Linked DNA regions of Saccharomyces cerevisiae S288C. Changing the gene in region 2 together with the main gene of any one other region gives a genetic interaction. Each region holds a gene or a part of one and is shown on either strand. Other genes may lie near its edges. The genes, in order: NUP60, ASF1, SLX5 and MSI1.

Region 1 (4,157 bases), on a different chromosome or scaffold from region 2:
TTTTTTGATCGTTTTACCACCTCAACTATTGTTGCTAAATGATCCCTAATATTAATATAGGGATTACTATCCACCCCGTCATGGCTGAATTTTTTTAGCTTCAATTGCTTCACGACGTGTCCCTTATAAATCAGTTGTGAACTTGTTAACAGGTGGTTTATTTTCTTGATACGTCCAGTCACACTTCTAGGATCTTGCCCAGTTACCTGCGCCAAATCCATAGTATTGATCCCTTTTTCTCCTGATTTGGCAACTTCGAGAAGTAGTTCAAATGCAGAATTTCCAATAGTTGACTCCTTTTTTGTGTATCCCGTTAATAATGTCCATAGGCTGTCCTCAGTAATCCCAACCGAGTATGAATGATTAGCGTCGCCTATAATATCAGTCACATTTTTAGTTGTTATAGCACCATCACAATACACCTCAATGTCCTTTTTCAATATCACGCATGAAAGCACGAACTGTTTAACTTTTTTATCAGACAAATCAAAATATTTACCAGATATATCCCACAGCTGATTCAAAGTGATTTCTTCAATGTGTCGTTAGTAAATAATCTTTCACAATATAGTACGTTTATCACCTAAACGGAGCCGAAAAGGAGAATGAGACATGAACATACTTCCCTTATTTGAAGCAATTTTATCAGACACTATTTGTACGAGTTCGTCAGGATAAATCGTCAGTACCATTTTTCTTGTGGCTAGTTGGCTTCAACCAAACGTCCTCTTCTCTCTTATGGCAAGAAGAAAGTTATATGTGTGACTGGTTGTTTATTTCACTTTCGCGACTGAAAGCGCCGCCCTTTATGATGCAAAAAACCAAGCGGTATTTGAAAATGCAGATTTGCAGAAATAAAAGAAATAAAAATAAAAATCTTATAATTTTACCAGCTTCAATAACTCGATTTGCATAAGTGTGCCTTAGTATGCTTATTATATTGACTTTGACATTGAACTTCAAAACCTTTTATGTAATGATTTAAGTCTTGTCACATGACATAATAATAAATAATTTTAAAAATATAAAATATTTTTAATAGTTTTTAAATATTTTACAGTTTATTTTTTAAATTTATTTATATGTTTTTGTTTTCCGAAGCAGTCAAAGTATTTTAATTTTCGGAGCTTTCATTTCAAGCGCCTTTTTTTTACACATAATACGATCAAGATAAATTATTATAGTGGTACAGAACTCTTAAGCACTAGGCGGTGGACCTTATTAGCTCAATCTTGAGTCAGTCCATGTATCGTTTTATAATACTTTTTTAAGCACTTTCTTTAATAAATATTCCATTGAAGTACTGTTACTGAAATGAGATGAACTGTTCAGAATGTAGAAATGGCGCCAGAAATCAATCATTGTTTAGCAAAAACACCTTTCGTCTGCTGCCTCGGGTGTTTTTTCAAATTATTTCAGCAGGTAAATTAAGATAGTTATTCGAGTGATTGCCAAATATCATGTTCTACTTCGAAGACTTATAGCTAATTAATTTTTTCATAATGAAGGTGTCGTTAATTGTTCTGATTAGTAACATGAAACTCAAAAATCATCAAAAAAAGAAAAGCTAAATGTATACTTTTTTGTCTACATTAGTTACCTTTTATTACATGAGAAAGTTATTTTTCTTCTTTTTTTTTTTTTTTTTTTGAAACTTTTTCCTCTCGGAAAATAAAAGATATATTTACAAGTGAAAGCTTATTGTAATGTGTACTTTTAAACATCAAATAACAGACCTTTACATCAAATAAGCACCGCAAGATATCCTAAAATCGACATCCAATGCATCGTAAATCATTGAGGAGGGCTAGCGCTACTGTGCCTTCCGCTCCCTATCGAAAGCAGATTATTAGCAATGCACACAATAAACCAAGCCTTTTCTCTAAAATTAAAACTTTCTTTACCCAAAAAGATTCAGCCAGAGTGAGTCCAAGGAATAATGTTGCTAATAAACAACCACGCAATGAGTCTTTTAACAGAAGAATCTCAAGTATGCCTGGAGGTTATTTCCATTCTGAGATATCCCCAGATTCTACTGTAAACCGTTCCGTAGTTGTTTCTGCAGTGGGTGAAGCCAGAAACGACATTGAGAATAAAGAAGAGGAGTATGATGAAACACATGAAACTAACATCTCCAATGCAAAGCTTGCAAACTTTTTTAGTAAAAAAGGTAATGAGCCTTTATCAGAAATTGAAATAGAGGGTGTGATGTCATTGTTACAAAAATCAAGCAAATCCATGATAACTTCGGAAGGAGAACAAAAATCAGCCGAAGGTAATAATATCGACCAGTCGCTTATCTTGAAGGAGTCAGGAAGTACACCAATCAGCATATCTAATGCGCCGACCTTCAACCCAAAATATGATACTTCAAATGCGTCAATGAATACGACTTTGGGAAGCATTGGTTCAAGAAAATACAGTTTCAATTATTCTAGCCTGCCCTCACCATACAAAACAACCGTTTATAGATATAGTGCAGCGAAAAAGATCCCCGATACATACACAGCCAACACATCTGCTCAAAGTATAGCATCTGCTAAATCGGTAAGAAGTGGTGTTTCAAAGTCAGCTCCTAGTAAGAAAATAAGTAATACAGCTGCGGCATTGGTCTCACTATTAGATGAAAATGACAGTAAGAAGAATAATGCAGCTTCAGAACTTGCTAATCCATACTCCTCATATGTAAGCCAAATACGCAAACATAAGAGAGTTTCTCCAAATGCTGCACCAAGGCAAGAGATCAGTGAAGAAGAAACTACTGTTAAGCCATTATTTCAAAACGTTCCTGAACAAGGCGAAGAACCAATGAAACAACTGAACGCCACCAAAATTTCACCATCTGCGCCAAGCAAAGATTCTTTTACTAAATACAAACCTGCAAGGTCCTCATCCTTACGCTCAAATGTCGTCGTAGCTGAAACCTCACCTGAAAAGAAGGATGGTGGAGATAAACCTCCATCCTCTGCTTTTAACTTCTCGTTTAATACTTCAAGAAACGTTGAACCTACTGAGAATGCTTATAAGAGCGAGAACGCACCATCTGCATCATCAAAGGAATTCAATTTTACCAACCTACAGGCGAAGCCGTTAGTTGGAAAGCCAAAAACCGAACTTACAAAGGGCGATTCTACTCCCGTCCAACCAGATCTTTCGGTTACTCCTCAAAAAAGTTCATCGAAAGGCTTTGTTTTTAATAGTGTTCAAAAGAAATCACGGTCCAATCTTTCACAAGAAAACGATAATGAAGGTAAACATATCAGCGCCTCAATTGATAACGACTTTTCAGAGGAAAAGGCGGAAGAGTTTGATTTCAATGTTCCCGTGGTGTCTAAGCAGCTAGGAAATGGCTTGGTTGATGAAAATAAAGTTGAGGCTTTCAAGTCCCTATATACCTTTTGATAATGAAAATTTTAGCCGTGACATAATTACCGTATAGCCCAACTCAATACGTAAGTTTGTGTAAAATACCATTCCAAGATGATATTATTTAGTCATTTTTTTTCCACTTTCTCAAAAAGAAGGAATACCTTTAGCGGCTCTTATAAACTATAAATTTCTAGAAGATACATAAAAGGTTTTTAGTCTGATCATAAAATTTTTTGCTTAACAAAAAATTTGCCCAGGTGTTTCATTTGCCAGCCACAAGTAACAGCGAGAACAATTAATTGAATGACAATCCACCACATAGCACGAGAATTAACAGCTTCAGAGGCGTCTCTAAAGGTAGCTTCACGATCTCTCATCAATTTTTGCTCTCTTCTAATTTCGCCGATCTTGGAGTTTAGGACGTTAACCTTGGCATGTAGAATGTCAATAGTGGCTTTACCCTTAGAATCTAACTTTTCATCAGAGCCCACTTGGAATTCAACGTCAATCTTCGTTTTAGCCTTAATCAACCAGCCACCAGCTTCGGGCTGAATACAGATTTTATGTTCACCCGAATCAGACGCAAGGAAAGTTAAATCACCACTTGCTGAACCTTTCTGATGAACAACCAGGTGGTTATCATCAAAAGTTTCCTCAATATCAATCAAGACACCAAAATCTTGCGCACCAGCGTCTCTGTAATTTTGTAATTGGTCATCGTAAATTTGTGCCTTGTAAGTTGCTTGGAACAAAGTACCTTTAGACAATTCCTTGTGGAAGCACTTACG
Region 2 (3,104 bases):
TCACGCTTCTGTTCAGAGGTATCCTTCTCAGATGAGGACAATGTAGTGGTAGTAGCAGCAGATTCTACAGTACTAGTAGCGGCATTGGAATCTATGTATTGAGTGACAGTGACAACCGCTGGTTTTTCATCTTTGTGATGATCTTCATGGTGACTGTCCGCTGGAGCAGGTGCAGGGGCAGAAAATGCGACAGAAGAAAGGGAAGACAATATTAAAGCTGCGGAAATTTTCATTATGTGTTAGAGAGAGACGAGTTAAGTATGTGCGACTATACTAGTATTATAATATTAAAGGAAAGTAAGGTACCGTCTATGAGGAGACTGTTAGTTGGATATCAGTAATGAGACGAAAAAGCTCGAAATGAATGGATATATTCTTTTTGCTACTGGCAACTGTTGAATATTTAATGTTAAAACAAACTAACTGAGGTATATTCGTATCTGTATGTACACATATACTATATACAGGAAAAGATAAGCAAGAGAGAGGATATCAACTACGAGAGCGATCGATTATATATCAAAAGCTGTCCGCTTTGCCACCCATAATCGGCGCTTAGTTTCGGAGTTCAATCATAATTCTACCACCTTACACTCAACTTACTCTTTAACTCCTATAGTATAATATCGCCACTGACCCCATATTAAAAAAATTTTTTTGCTCGATCTTCTATCCTCTTTAGGTTAATTGTCGCTGTTATTGTCTAGATTTTTTCTCGGAGATGGCGCATCTATTTGCCGTCAAAAGATCCTCTCATACCATATTAAGTAAATTGCCTCCATTTCTTTTTCCTCGGGCAGAGAAACTCGCAGGCAACTTGCTCTCGAAGTGGTCACGTGCGGGTCTAGGCCTGCATAATCGGCCCTCACAGAGGGATCCCGTTACCCATCTATGCTGAAGATTTATCATACTATTCCTCCGCTCGTTTCTTTTTTCAGTGAGGTGTGTCGTGAAAGAAAACCCACAATTAAACTTTCAACAACCGGGCGACTAGGAAGAGAGTAGTGGGCGCGGATGACGAAGGCTAAGGTCACTTCTTCGTTTCCTTTATTGGGGTTTCCGTGTAGCCTTCCCCTGAATAGTGTGGGACGTTTTATGAGAAGCCGTAAGAAATAGGCAAATTGAGTTATGACAAGTAGACATGATGCCGCAGCCTTGCCTGACTTTACGTCTCCTTCATGAATAAGTTTTTCTATCGAGTTCTTTTCCTTTTTTCGCCTTAATTAGCTCAATTAAGCCTGTCCTCACTACTTTTCTTTTTCTTATCGGCTTTGTGCCACACCTAACCTTCGAATGCTGTTTTATTCCGTTCTTACATGGGATGGTAATGCCTTGGCGAGAATTTCGATTTTCAGGATATTGTCTTGGTGGCGTCTTTTGCTGTTACTATGTGTTTAAGAGAGAGCTGTTCTACAAAGAACTTTTCATTTACGCGTTTTTTCCTTTTTTTTTTTTTCTCATCCTAAACGCGTAAATCTGTTCCCTTTTTCATGTAATGGGCGTACAACCGACGATGGAAAAATGAATCTTGCAATTTTAATACTAACACTTGGAATAACTCCAAACAGGTAAGAGGCTCACAGAATCTCGAAAGTGTAACAGCGTACTCTCCCTACCATCCAATTGAAACATAAGATATAGAAAAGATGTCAATTGTTTCACTGTTAGGCATCAAAGTCTTAAACAACCCGGCAAAGTTCACTGATCCATATGAGTTTGAAATCACTTTTGAATGCTTAGAATCTTTAAAACATGACTTAGAGTGGAAACTAACCTATGTTGGGTCCTCTCGTTCTCTAGACCATGACCAGGAATTGGATTCCATTCTGGTAGGCCCCGTTCCCGTAGGTGTTAATAAATTTGTGTTTTCTGCTGACCCTCCCTCCGCCGAGCTGATTCCTGCGAGTGAATTGGTTAGTGTGACTGTTATTCTATTAAGTTGTTCTTATGACGGGAGAGAGTTTGTTAGGGTCGGTTACTACGTGAATAATGAGTACGATGAAGAAGAGTTAAGAGAAAATCCGCCAGCAAAGGTACAAGTAGATCATATTGTAAGAAATATACTGGCTGAAAAGCCAAGGGTAACAAGGTTTAACATTGTTTGGGATAATGAAAATGAAGGGGATTTATACCCACCTGAACAGCCCGGCGTAGATGATGAAGAGGAGGAGGACGATGAAGAAGAAGATGACGATGAAGATGATGAAGACGACGAAGATGACGATCAAGAAGATGGAGAGGGAGAGGCGGAAGAAGCGGCAGAGGAGGAAGAAGAGGAGGAAGAGAAGACTGAAGACAACGAAACGAATCTTGAAGAAGAGGAGGAAGACATAGAAAATAGTGACGGCGATGAGGAAGAAGGAGAAGAAGAGGTGGGGTCTGTAGACAAGAATGAAGATGGTAATGATAAGAAGAGGAGGAAAATAGAAGGGGGGTCCACGGATATTGAATCCACTCCAAAGGATGCGGCACGTTCAACGAATTAAGAATTTATGGGTTATAAGATTAATGGTACCTGCAAGAGAGGTACACTTTATAAAATGTATAAATAAAAAAATAACAGACATAAGATAAAGTCGGGTTAGGGCAACAGCTACGTAAAAAATAAAAGGCAGTAATATTTTCCATTTAAGTTGATTTTCTTATTATTGTCGTTGAGAACAAAAAGAAATTGGACGAGTCCGGAATCGAACCGGAGACCTCTCCCATGCTAAGGGAGCGCGCTACCGACTACGCCACACGCCCTAATATTATTGATATTGTTGTTTATCAAAGTGAGATACGTCAGTATGACAATACGTCATCCTAAAAGTTCATAAAACACATATGAAACAACTTCATAACAGAACGAACATGTTGGAATAAAAATCCACTATCGTCTATCAACTAATAGTTATATTATCATGTTGGAACGAGAGTAATTAATAGTGACATGAGTTGCTATGGTAACAATCTAATGCTTACATCGTATATTAATGTACAACTCGTATACGTTTAAGTGTGATTGCGCCTATTGCAGAAGGAATGTTAAACGAGAAGCTCAGACAATACTGAAGCTGTGTTAAAGACCTATTAGTTGAACATGTTATGGTAGGTACATATAT
Region 3 (4,358 bases), on a different chromosome or scaffold from region 2:
GGATAAATCTAAGTTGCCCATTGCTTTCAATAACTCCGATCAAATTAACTCAAATCAACTAAAACAGTAATGTCATTCAGACCAGGTAGCAGAGGTGGTTCCCGTGGAGGTTCCAGAGGTGGCTTCGGTGGTAGAGGCGGTTCCCGTGGTGGTGCTCGCGGTGGTTCCAGAGGTGGCTTCGGTGGTAGAGGCGGTTCTCGTGGTGGTGCCCGTGGTGGTTCCAGAGGCGGCTTCGGTGGTAGAGGCGGTTCTCGTGGTGGTGCCCGTGGTGGCTCCAGAGGTGGTAGAGGTGGCGCTGCTGGTGGTGCCCGTGGTGGTGCCAAGGTCGTTATTGAACCACATAGACATGCCGGTGTTTACATTGCTAGAGGTAAAGAAGATTTGCTAGTTACCAAGAACATGGCCCCAGGTGAATCAGTTTATGGTGAAAAGAGAATCTCCGTTGAAGAACCATCTAAGGAAGATGGTGTCCCACCAACCAAGGTCGAATACCGTGTATGGAACCCATTCAGATCTAAGTTGGCTGCCGGTATTATGGGTGGTCTAGATGAATTATTTATTGCCCCAGGCAAGAAAGTTTTATATTTAGGTGCTGCTTCCGGTACTTCTGTTTCTCACGTTTCAGATGTTGTTGGTCCAGAAGGTGTTGTCTACGCCGTAGAATTTTCTCACAGACCAGGCAGAGAATTGATTTCTATGGCAAAGAAGAGACCTAATATCATCCCAATCATTGAAGATGCTAGACACCCACAAAAATACAGAATGTTGATTGGTATGGTTGACTGTGTCTTCGCAGATGTTGCCCAGCCTGATCAAGCTCGTATTATTGCATTGAACTCTCATATGTTCTTGAAGGACCAAGGTGGTGTTGTTATCTCCATTAAGGCTAACTGTATTGATTCTACTGTAGACGCGGAAACCGTTTTTGCTAGAGAAGTTCAAAAGTTACGTGAGGAACGTATTAAGCCATTAGAACAATTGACTTTAGAGCCATATGAAAGAGACCATTGTATCGTCGTTGGTAGATACATGAGAAGCGGTTTGAAGAAATAAGTTGAATAAAGGAAATTAGTCAAAAGTTTCTGGTAGCTTGCTCAATTATTAGCAGAATAATTGTTTCGTTTATATATATTTCCCCCATTCAGTTTCACTTCCTATTTGAAGTTTTTGTAACCCTCGACTTTGTAAAATAGATATTACTAAATTCTTTTAGAGAACAAAAGTATTGTACGTATTCGCCATATAAAAAAAAAAGAGTATATGTGGTGACTTTTTGGTCATTAATTGTTAAGAGCAAGCAAGTAGAAATCATAATCATATTTCGAGTTTTTTAAAGGTAGGAACAATATCGATAAGCTGTTCTCCAGTCTCGACACTGTTTGATGACCATATATCATTAATTCTTGTAACACTACATCATAGATTTCTCTTTATCCTTGGATTGAATCTGAAAAAATTTTGATAGAGTCTTTTGTTCAAAGTGTCACTTCTTCATCTGTCACTCTTACGTATTTTTTTTTTTTTGGCTTTGCCCATAAGAAACATCACTGTATACGCAAGGTCGCAATATTTACTATTTAACATGGATGAGAGGCAGTGTGCGACCAAAACGAAGACTTAATCATTAAGAAGAGCGTGTGTTGCGTTGATTGGTAATAACCAAGTCGAAATTTGCACTAGGAGCTTCAGTCTAGGAGTGAACTTTTGAAAAGATTTCAGTCCAAAAATTATTATTTGGAACGCGGAGCTCCTCTAATAGTCGAAATAATAGAATGCATAGCGATACTAACGGTCGAACAAAGAGCAATAATAGCCCATCAGACAATAATCCAAATGAGACAGTTATATTAATAGATAGTGATAAGGAAGAAGACGCTTCTATTCGCGAGGCTAACCTTCCTGTGAGGTTGTACCCAGACAGACGGGTAGGGAGACGACGTGATGCTTTAAATAGGTTTGTGAGGTCAGATTCAAGGAGCAGGAATTCTCAACGGACTCACATAACAGCAAGCTCTGAGCGCCCTGATTTTCAAGCTAATAACGACGATATCACTATAATACGAGAAGTTGGACGGTTTTTTGGAGACGATGGACCTATTGATCCTTCTGCACATTACGTCGATCTTGATCAGGAGCCAGGTTCTGAAACGTTAGAAACTCCAAGAACAATACAAGTAGATAACACAAACGGGTACTTGAATGATAATGGTAATAACAATGAAAGTGATGATGGCCTGACAATAGTTGAAGAGAGAACAACACGACCCAGAGTGACACTGAACCTGCCAGGCGGGGAGAGGCTTGAGGTAACTGCGACGACAACAGACATACCGATAAGAAGGTCATTTGAATTCCAAGAAGATCTAGGCGCATCACGCAGGCAGTTACTGAGAAGGAGTGCTACAAGAGCCCGTAATTTATTTGTGGACCGGTCTGATGAAAACGATGAAGATTGGACAGATGATACCCATAATTTACCAGAAGCTATTCAAAGGGCTCGTAGGGAGAGCCGTATGCGAATGAGCAGACGGATTGCAGAAAGACAACGTAGGGTACAACAGCAAAGGGTGTCCAGTGACGAAAATATAAGTACATCTATTAGGTTACAATCAATCAGGGAACGAATACAATCATATACGCCTGATATTCGTAGTGCTTTTCATCGTGCAGAGTCACTGCATGAATTCAGGTCTATTTTACAAAATGTTGCTCCAATTACTTTGCAAGAATGTGAAGAAGAACTAATGGCACTCTTCACTGAGTTCAGAAATCAACTGCTGCAGAATTGGGCCATTGATAGGGTCAGAAATACTCAGGAAGAGGCCTTGAGACTTCACCGAGAAGCATTGGAAAGACAAGAAAGAACGGCAGGAAGAGTTTTCCATCGTGGCACATTACGTGAATCAATCACAAACTATCTTAATTTCAATGGAGAGGATGGGTTCTTAAGTCGTTTGTGGAGTGGCCCAGCATTGAGCGATGCTGACGAGGAACGACACACTCAAAATATCATTGATATGATCCAAGAGAGAGAAGAACGAGAGCGGGATGTGGTCATGAAGAATCTAATGAACAAAACCAGAGCCCAACAGGAAGAATTCGAAGCTAGGGCAGCCAGCCTACCCGAAGGTTATAGCGCGTCATTTGATACTACGCCAAAAATGAAATTAGACATTACGAAAAATGGTAAAGAAGAAACCATCATTGTGACAGATGACGATTTAGCAAAAACACTCGAGGATATTCCTGTTTGTTGCTTGTGTGGCGCAGAATTGGGGGTCGGAATACCGGATGATTTTACTGGAATCAGTCAAAAGGATCGTGGTGTTTCATTTGAAGGGTTAGTGTCAAAATACAAATTCCACTGCCCCTACCAAACCCTAGCCAGACCATCAATGCTTGATAGAGATTTATCAAAACGAACGTTTATTGCATCGTGTGGTCATGCATTTTGTGGTAGGTGTTTCGCCAGGATTGACAATGCAAAAAAAAAATCTAAGATGCCCAAAAAGAAACTAGCTCAACTAAAGGGTTCGGCTCATCCGGATAATTATGGCCCCAAATTATGTCCCGCAGATTCTTGTAAGAAGCTTATTCGTTCAAGAGGCAGGTTGAAGGAGGTTTACTTCTAGCACGCGGTTTAATTTTTATAAGGGCATTTTCGAACTTATCATCATTATATATTATCTACTTGCATGAACACTTTAATCACGCTTATTTAATTAAGATTAAAAGATCAGAGGTGCAATTGTGCTTTGTTTTATATAGTGGATTTGTGTGAAAGGGTTTGCTCCCACAAGATATGGAGATACTCTAAAACAGCATATCCAAAGTACAGCATAAACATAAACCCGCTAGACAGCCCGCTAGACAGTCTTCATTTCCAGAACTGGCCGGTTGTTGTTGGACATAAATGGGCTGCTGTGGGTGTTGTTGGTAATATTGGGGCTGCTGTTGCTGATAGTATTGAGGTTGTTGCTGATACTGCTGCTGCTGCTGTTGAGGTGGATAATAGTTCTGTTGGCTTTGCGATGGAGCGTAACCTCTAGACGCCGTTTCATATCCTGGTGGTGGAGCGCTAGGACGAGAATACTGAATCGAAAGTGATGTAATGAAAATACAAGGGCTCGTTAGTACGATGTGATCTTCTAAAGGCAAAACTTGTAAAATTAACGTACGCTTTGTTTGGAGGCAGAGTTTCCGTAATAATCTTGAGCTGACATGAGATGTGTATTTGCTTGGTTTATGGGCTATTGTATGGGTTTGTCTTAATATCCTTTTCGGTTGCGTAAATACTTTTTATATTTCAATATTTCACGATGCCGCTGATAGCATCGTTTAATACGAAAACTTCGAGC
Region 4 (3,641 bases), on a different chromosome or scaffold from region 2:
GGCCTTCAGCAAATTTTTTTGATTATTTTCAAATATCAAGGAAATATATTACCTTCAAAGTCATCCAATCCTTTTAGTTCTCGCATTCCATCATTTTATACTATATACGTTTGAGCTTAATGGATCAAAAGAAGGACCCAAGTAATAACTTAACAGAAAGAAGGGTTTCCAAGGTCCAACGCCCAAATAAGAAAAAGGTACGAAATCAAGTTGAATCACTTTCTAGAAACCTAGAGAGAAATAAAGAGGGACAGCTTCTGCAGACTGTATCAAAAGGTCATTTAGAAGCTGATTCTGGACACTCACTGGGTCGTGAAAAAGAGAACGGTGAACTCGGTATAAGAAGTATATTTTACGATAAAGACTGGAATCCAAGAGGCACTGCACCATCACATTACAGAAATATACCTTATAATCCTGCCACTTTCAAAAGGCGAACTGAAGTTCAAGCCAGACTGGGAAACCTCGAGAATATCAAAATACCAAAGTGAAAGTTCAAAGGTAATAAATGAGCAACCACTTTCTTCGAAATACAATATTGAAATCAGCATGAAGTCTGAGCGTAGTGTTTATTGTAGCAAGTCTTGAGCATATTTTATAAACTCTATTTATGTTTGTATATTCGTCTATCAAATGGTTGAATATGTAATAGGGACAGGAGCCATTAGCATGCCTGGCTTCAAGGAACGTTTAGGTCACGAATGTCCAACAAGGTTTCCTGCAGGTTTCCATATGTGAACTGAATTATCATTTGCCACACTGCACATTAACCAAGGGTCATGAGCGTCCCACGAAATGTCGTTCACACCGAGCATATGACCACCATGGGTAAATATAGTTTCTTCGCAGGAGGTATCCCATAGCTTGACTAACCCATCTTCTTGGCCAGCCGTTGCCAATACAGTATCGAAATTTGGACTCCATTCTAAAGTTGAAACGGAAGTACCGTGCTCCATGGTAGCGATTGGGCTTTTGTTCATGTTTCTAATATCCCATAAATTTAGCCTCCCATTTGAATCTGCAGATGCTAGAATTAAAGAGTTCTTATAGTTAAATCTACAGGAGTTTACTCCACCATCGTGTTTTTCACGGTTACTCTGGAGCTTCTCTTTCTTAGTCCTCAGATCTAATAGGGAGACCGCATTTCCTTCAGTACAAGCAGCAAAGAGGGAATCGTGTGTTGGCATCCAAGTTACATCATTCACCGCTGTTCCGTCGCTGTTTATTGACACTAAGGGTAAATCTATTATAGGGTTCTCATGCGAATATTGTTTAATGTCCCAAACTTGAACTTGGCCGTTGGAGTGAGAAGAAAGTAAAAGGGCCTCCTGCTGCAAGTTCCAGGCTAAAGAAGTCGCCTCATTTATATCTGCCGAAGAAGTATCCATTGCCTCCACGTCTTGAATAACACCATGTGAACCAAACAGCTTTGTCTCAAAGGGATGTGAAATTTTGGACTGTCTTATTCTAGTAGAGCCGTGTTTTGTTCTATCGAATATGTAGATTGCACCATCTGAAGAGGCGCCGGCTATAATATCTGGATTTTGAGGCAAATATCTTGCCCTATTGCATTCCCCGTTTGGGAAGAAAATACTGATGTCATTTACTAAGTGTTTGGAGGGAAACCTTGTCGAGTTCTCCGGTTTGAATTCCATTTCGTCCATGTCGAAATTATTTAAAGATGACCATTTTATATGACCCAACGTGGATATTTTGCTAATATATATGGTCTCATCTTCAGGTTTTTGGGAAGATGTAAATGAGGATAACAAGATGCGATGCTCATCCGAAGTGGTATCTAAATCAGGAAAGAACTGGCACGTTAAGGACGGCCACTTTGTTGAATTCGTGTTTAGGTAATCATAAAGTAGTTTAGTGTTTTTCTTCCAGTGCGAGTATCTTTCTTGCAAATCGATGGGTATACTGGAGGCTTCATGAGTTATGTCCTTCGCGCACTGATTCATCTTTGAAACTAAATTTGTATATTGTTTGTCAGAAATAGGACCTGATATCCTCCTTTTAAACAGTTGATGAGAACCTTTTTCGCAAGTTCAAGGTGCTCTAATTTTTAAAATTTTTACTTTTCGCGACACAATAAAGTCTTCACGACGCTAAACTATTAGTGCACATAATGTAGTTACTTGGACGCTGTTCAATAATGTATAAAATTTATTTCCTTTGCATTACGTACATTATATAACCAAATCTTAAAAATATAGAAATATGATATGTGTATAATAATATAAGCAAAATTTACGTATCTTTGCTTATAATATAGCTTTAATGTTCTTTAGGTATATATTTAAGAGCGATTTGTTCACATCCATTCCTTGAATTGATTGATTAAACCGTTGGTAGAAGCATCGTGGGTAGAAATGGTGGAGGAGTTGTCCAATTCCTTGCCGATGACTTTAGCCAAGACTTTACCCAATTCAACACCCCATTGGTCGAAAGAGTTGATATTCCAAATGGCACCTTCAGTGAAAGTAACATGTTCGTAGTAGGCAATCAAAGCACCCAAAGTAGCTGGAGTAATCTTTTGAGCCAAGATAGAGGTAGTTGGTCTGTTACCTGAGAAGACCTTGTGTGGGACCAAACCACCAGTGGCACCTTCAGCCTTAACTTGTTCTTCATCCTTACCAACCATTAAAGCTTCAGCTTGAGCAAAGAAGTTTGAAGCCAACATCTTTTGATGTAATTTGTTCTCAATTGGGTTATGAGATTGAGCAGCTAAGATGAAATCAGATGGAATCAACTTGGTACCTTGGTGAACCAATTGGAAGAAAGAGTGTTGAGCGTTGGTAGCTGGTTCACCAAACAAGATAGAACCAGTAGAGTAGTCAGTAAACACGTTACCTCTGGTAACAGACTTACCGTTAGATTCCATTGACAATTGTTGCAAGTAGGCTGGGAATCTGTGCAAGTATTGGTCGAATGGAGCAACCAAATGGGTTTGAGCACCAAAGAAGTTGTTGTACCAGACAGACAACAAACCACCCAACAATGGAATGTTGTCTTCCAATGGGGTTTGGGTGAAGTGGTTGTCGACGGCTTCAGCACCCTTCAAGAAAGCCTCAAAGTTGTCATAGCCAATGTACAAGGCAACAGACAAACCAATAGCCGACCAGACAGAGTAACGACCACCGACCCAACTTTCGAAACCAAACATGTTTTTGGTGTCAATACCGAACTTGGCAACTTCGGTTTCGTTAGTGGACAAAGCAGCGAAATGCTTAGCAATGTGAGATGGATCATTACCTGTCTTCGACAAGAACCAGTTCTTGGCAGTGTTAGCGTTAGTGATAGTTTCAGCGGTAGTGAAAGTCTTGGAAGCAATCAAAAACAAAGTAGTTTCTGGGTCAACAACCTTCAAGGTTTCAGCAATGTGAGTACCGTCAATGTTGGAAACGAAGTGGACATCCAAGACACCAGCGTAGTGCTTCAAAGCCTCAGTGACCATGACTGGACCCAAATCGGAACCACCAATACCGATGTTAACAACATCGGTGATCTTCTTACCGGTATAACCCTTCCATTCACCAGAACGAACTTGTTCAGAGAACTCCTTCATGTGCTTCAAGACAGAGTCGACTTCTGGAGCAACGTTGACACCATCAACGTACATTGGCTTGTTAGCTCTG

Evidence for each region.
Region 1: mutations in ASF1 (region 2) and NUP60 together harm fitness more than expected from each alone (negative genetic interaction), as found in Saccharomyces cerevisiae (5 studies listed by BioGRID, with this or other methods).
Region 3: mutations in ASF1 (region 2) and SLX5 together harm fitness more than expected from each alone (negative genetic interaction), as found in Saccharomyces cerevisiae (5 studies listed by BioGRID, with this or other methods).
Region 4: of ASF1 (region 2) and MSI1, changing one enhances a phenotype caused by changing the other (phenotypic enhancement), as found in Saccharomyces cerevisiae (5 studies listed by BioGRID, with this or other methods).

What each region holds. Positions count from the first base shown.
Region 1 is NC_001133.9:150,475-154,631, forward strand, and holds NUP60 (FG-nucleoporin NUP60), read left to right. Parts: upstream 1-1,782; coding exon 1,783-3,402; downstream 3,403-4,157. Other genes in the region: transcription factor TFIIIC subunit TFC3, read right to left, coding at 1-532, 623-692; ERP1 (Erp1p), read right to left, coding at 3,591-4,157. UniProt on the Saccharomyces cerevisiae protein: Functions as a component of the nuclear pore complex (NPC).
Region 2 is NC_001142.9:194,641-197,744, forward strand, and holds ASF1 (nucleosome assembly factor ASF1), read left to right. Parts: upstream 1-1,646; coding exon 1,647-2,486; downstream 2,487-3,104. Other genes in the region: SUN family protein NCA3, read right to left, coding at 1-233. UniProt on the Saccharomyces cerevisiae protein: Histone chaperone that facilitates histone deposition and histone exchange and removal during nucleosome assembly and disassembly. Facilitates histone deposition through both replication-dependent and replication-independent chromatin assembly pathways.
Region 3 is NC_001136.10:427,295-431,652, forward strand, and holds SLX5 (SUMO-targeted ubiquitin ligase complex subunit SLX5), read left to right. Parts: upstream 1-1,772; coding exon 1,773-3,632; downstream 3,633-4,358. Other genes in the region: rRNA methyltransferase NOP1, read left to right, coding at 70-1,053; YDL012C (uncharacterized protein), read right to left, coding at 3,814-4,092, 4,179-4,223. UniProt on the Saccharomyces cerevisiae protein: Component of the SUMO-targeted ubiquitin ligase (STUbL) complex SLX5/SLX8 that mediates ubiquitination and subsequent desumoylation of sumoylated proteins and proteins containing SUMO-like domains for their degradation.
Region 4 is NC_001134.8:609,919-613,559, forward strand, and holds MSI1 (Msi1p), read right to left. Parts: upstream 1,965-3,641; coding exon 696-1,964; downstream 1-695. Other genes in the region: AIM4 (Aim4p), read left to right, coding at 120-491; PGI1 (glucose-6-phosphate isomerase), read right to left, coding at 2,318-3,641. UniProt on the Saccharomyces cerevisiae protein: Acts as a component of the histone chaperone complex chromatin assembly factor 1 (CAF-1), which assembles histone octamers onto DNA during replication and repair.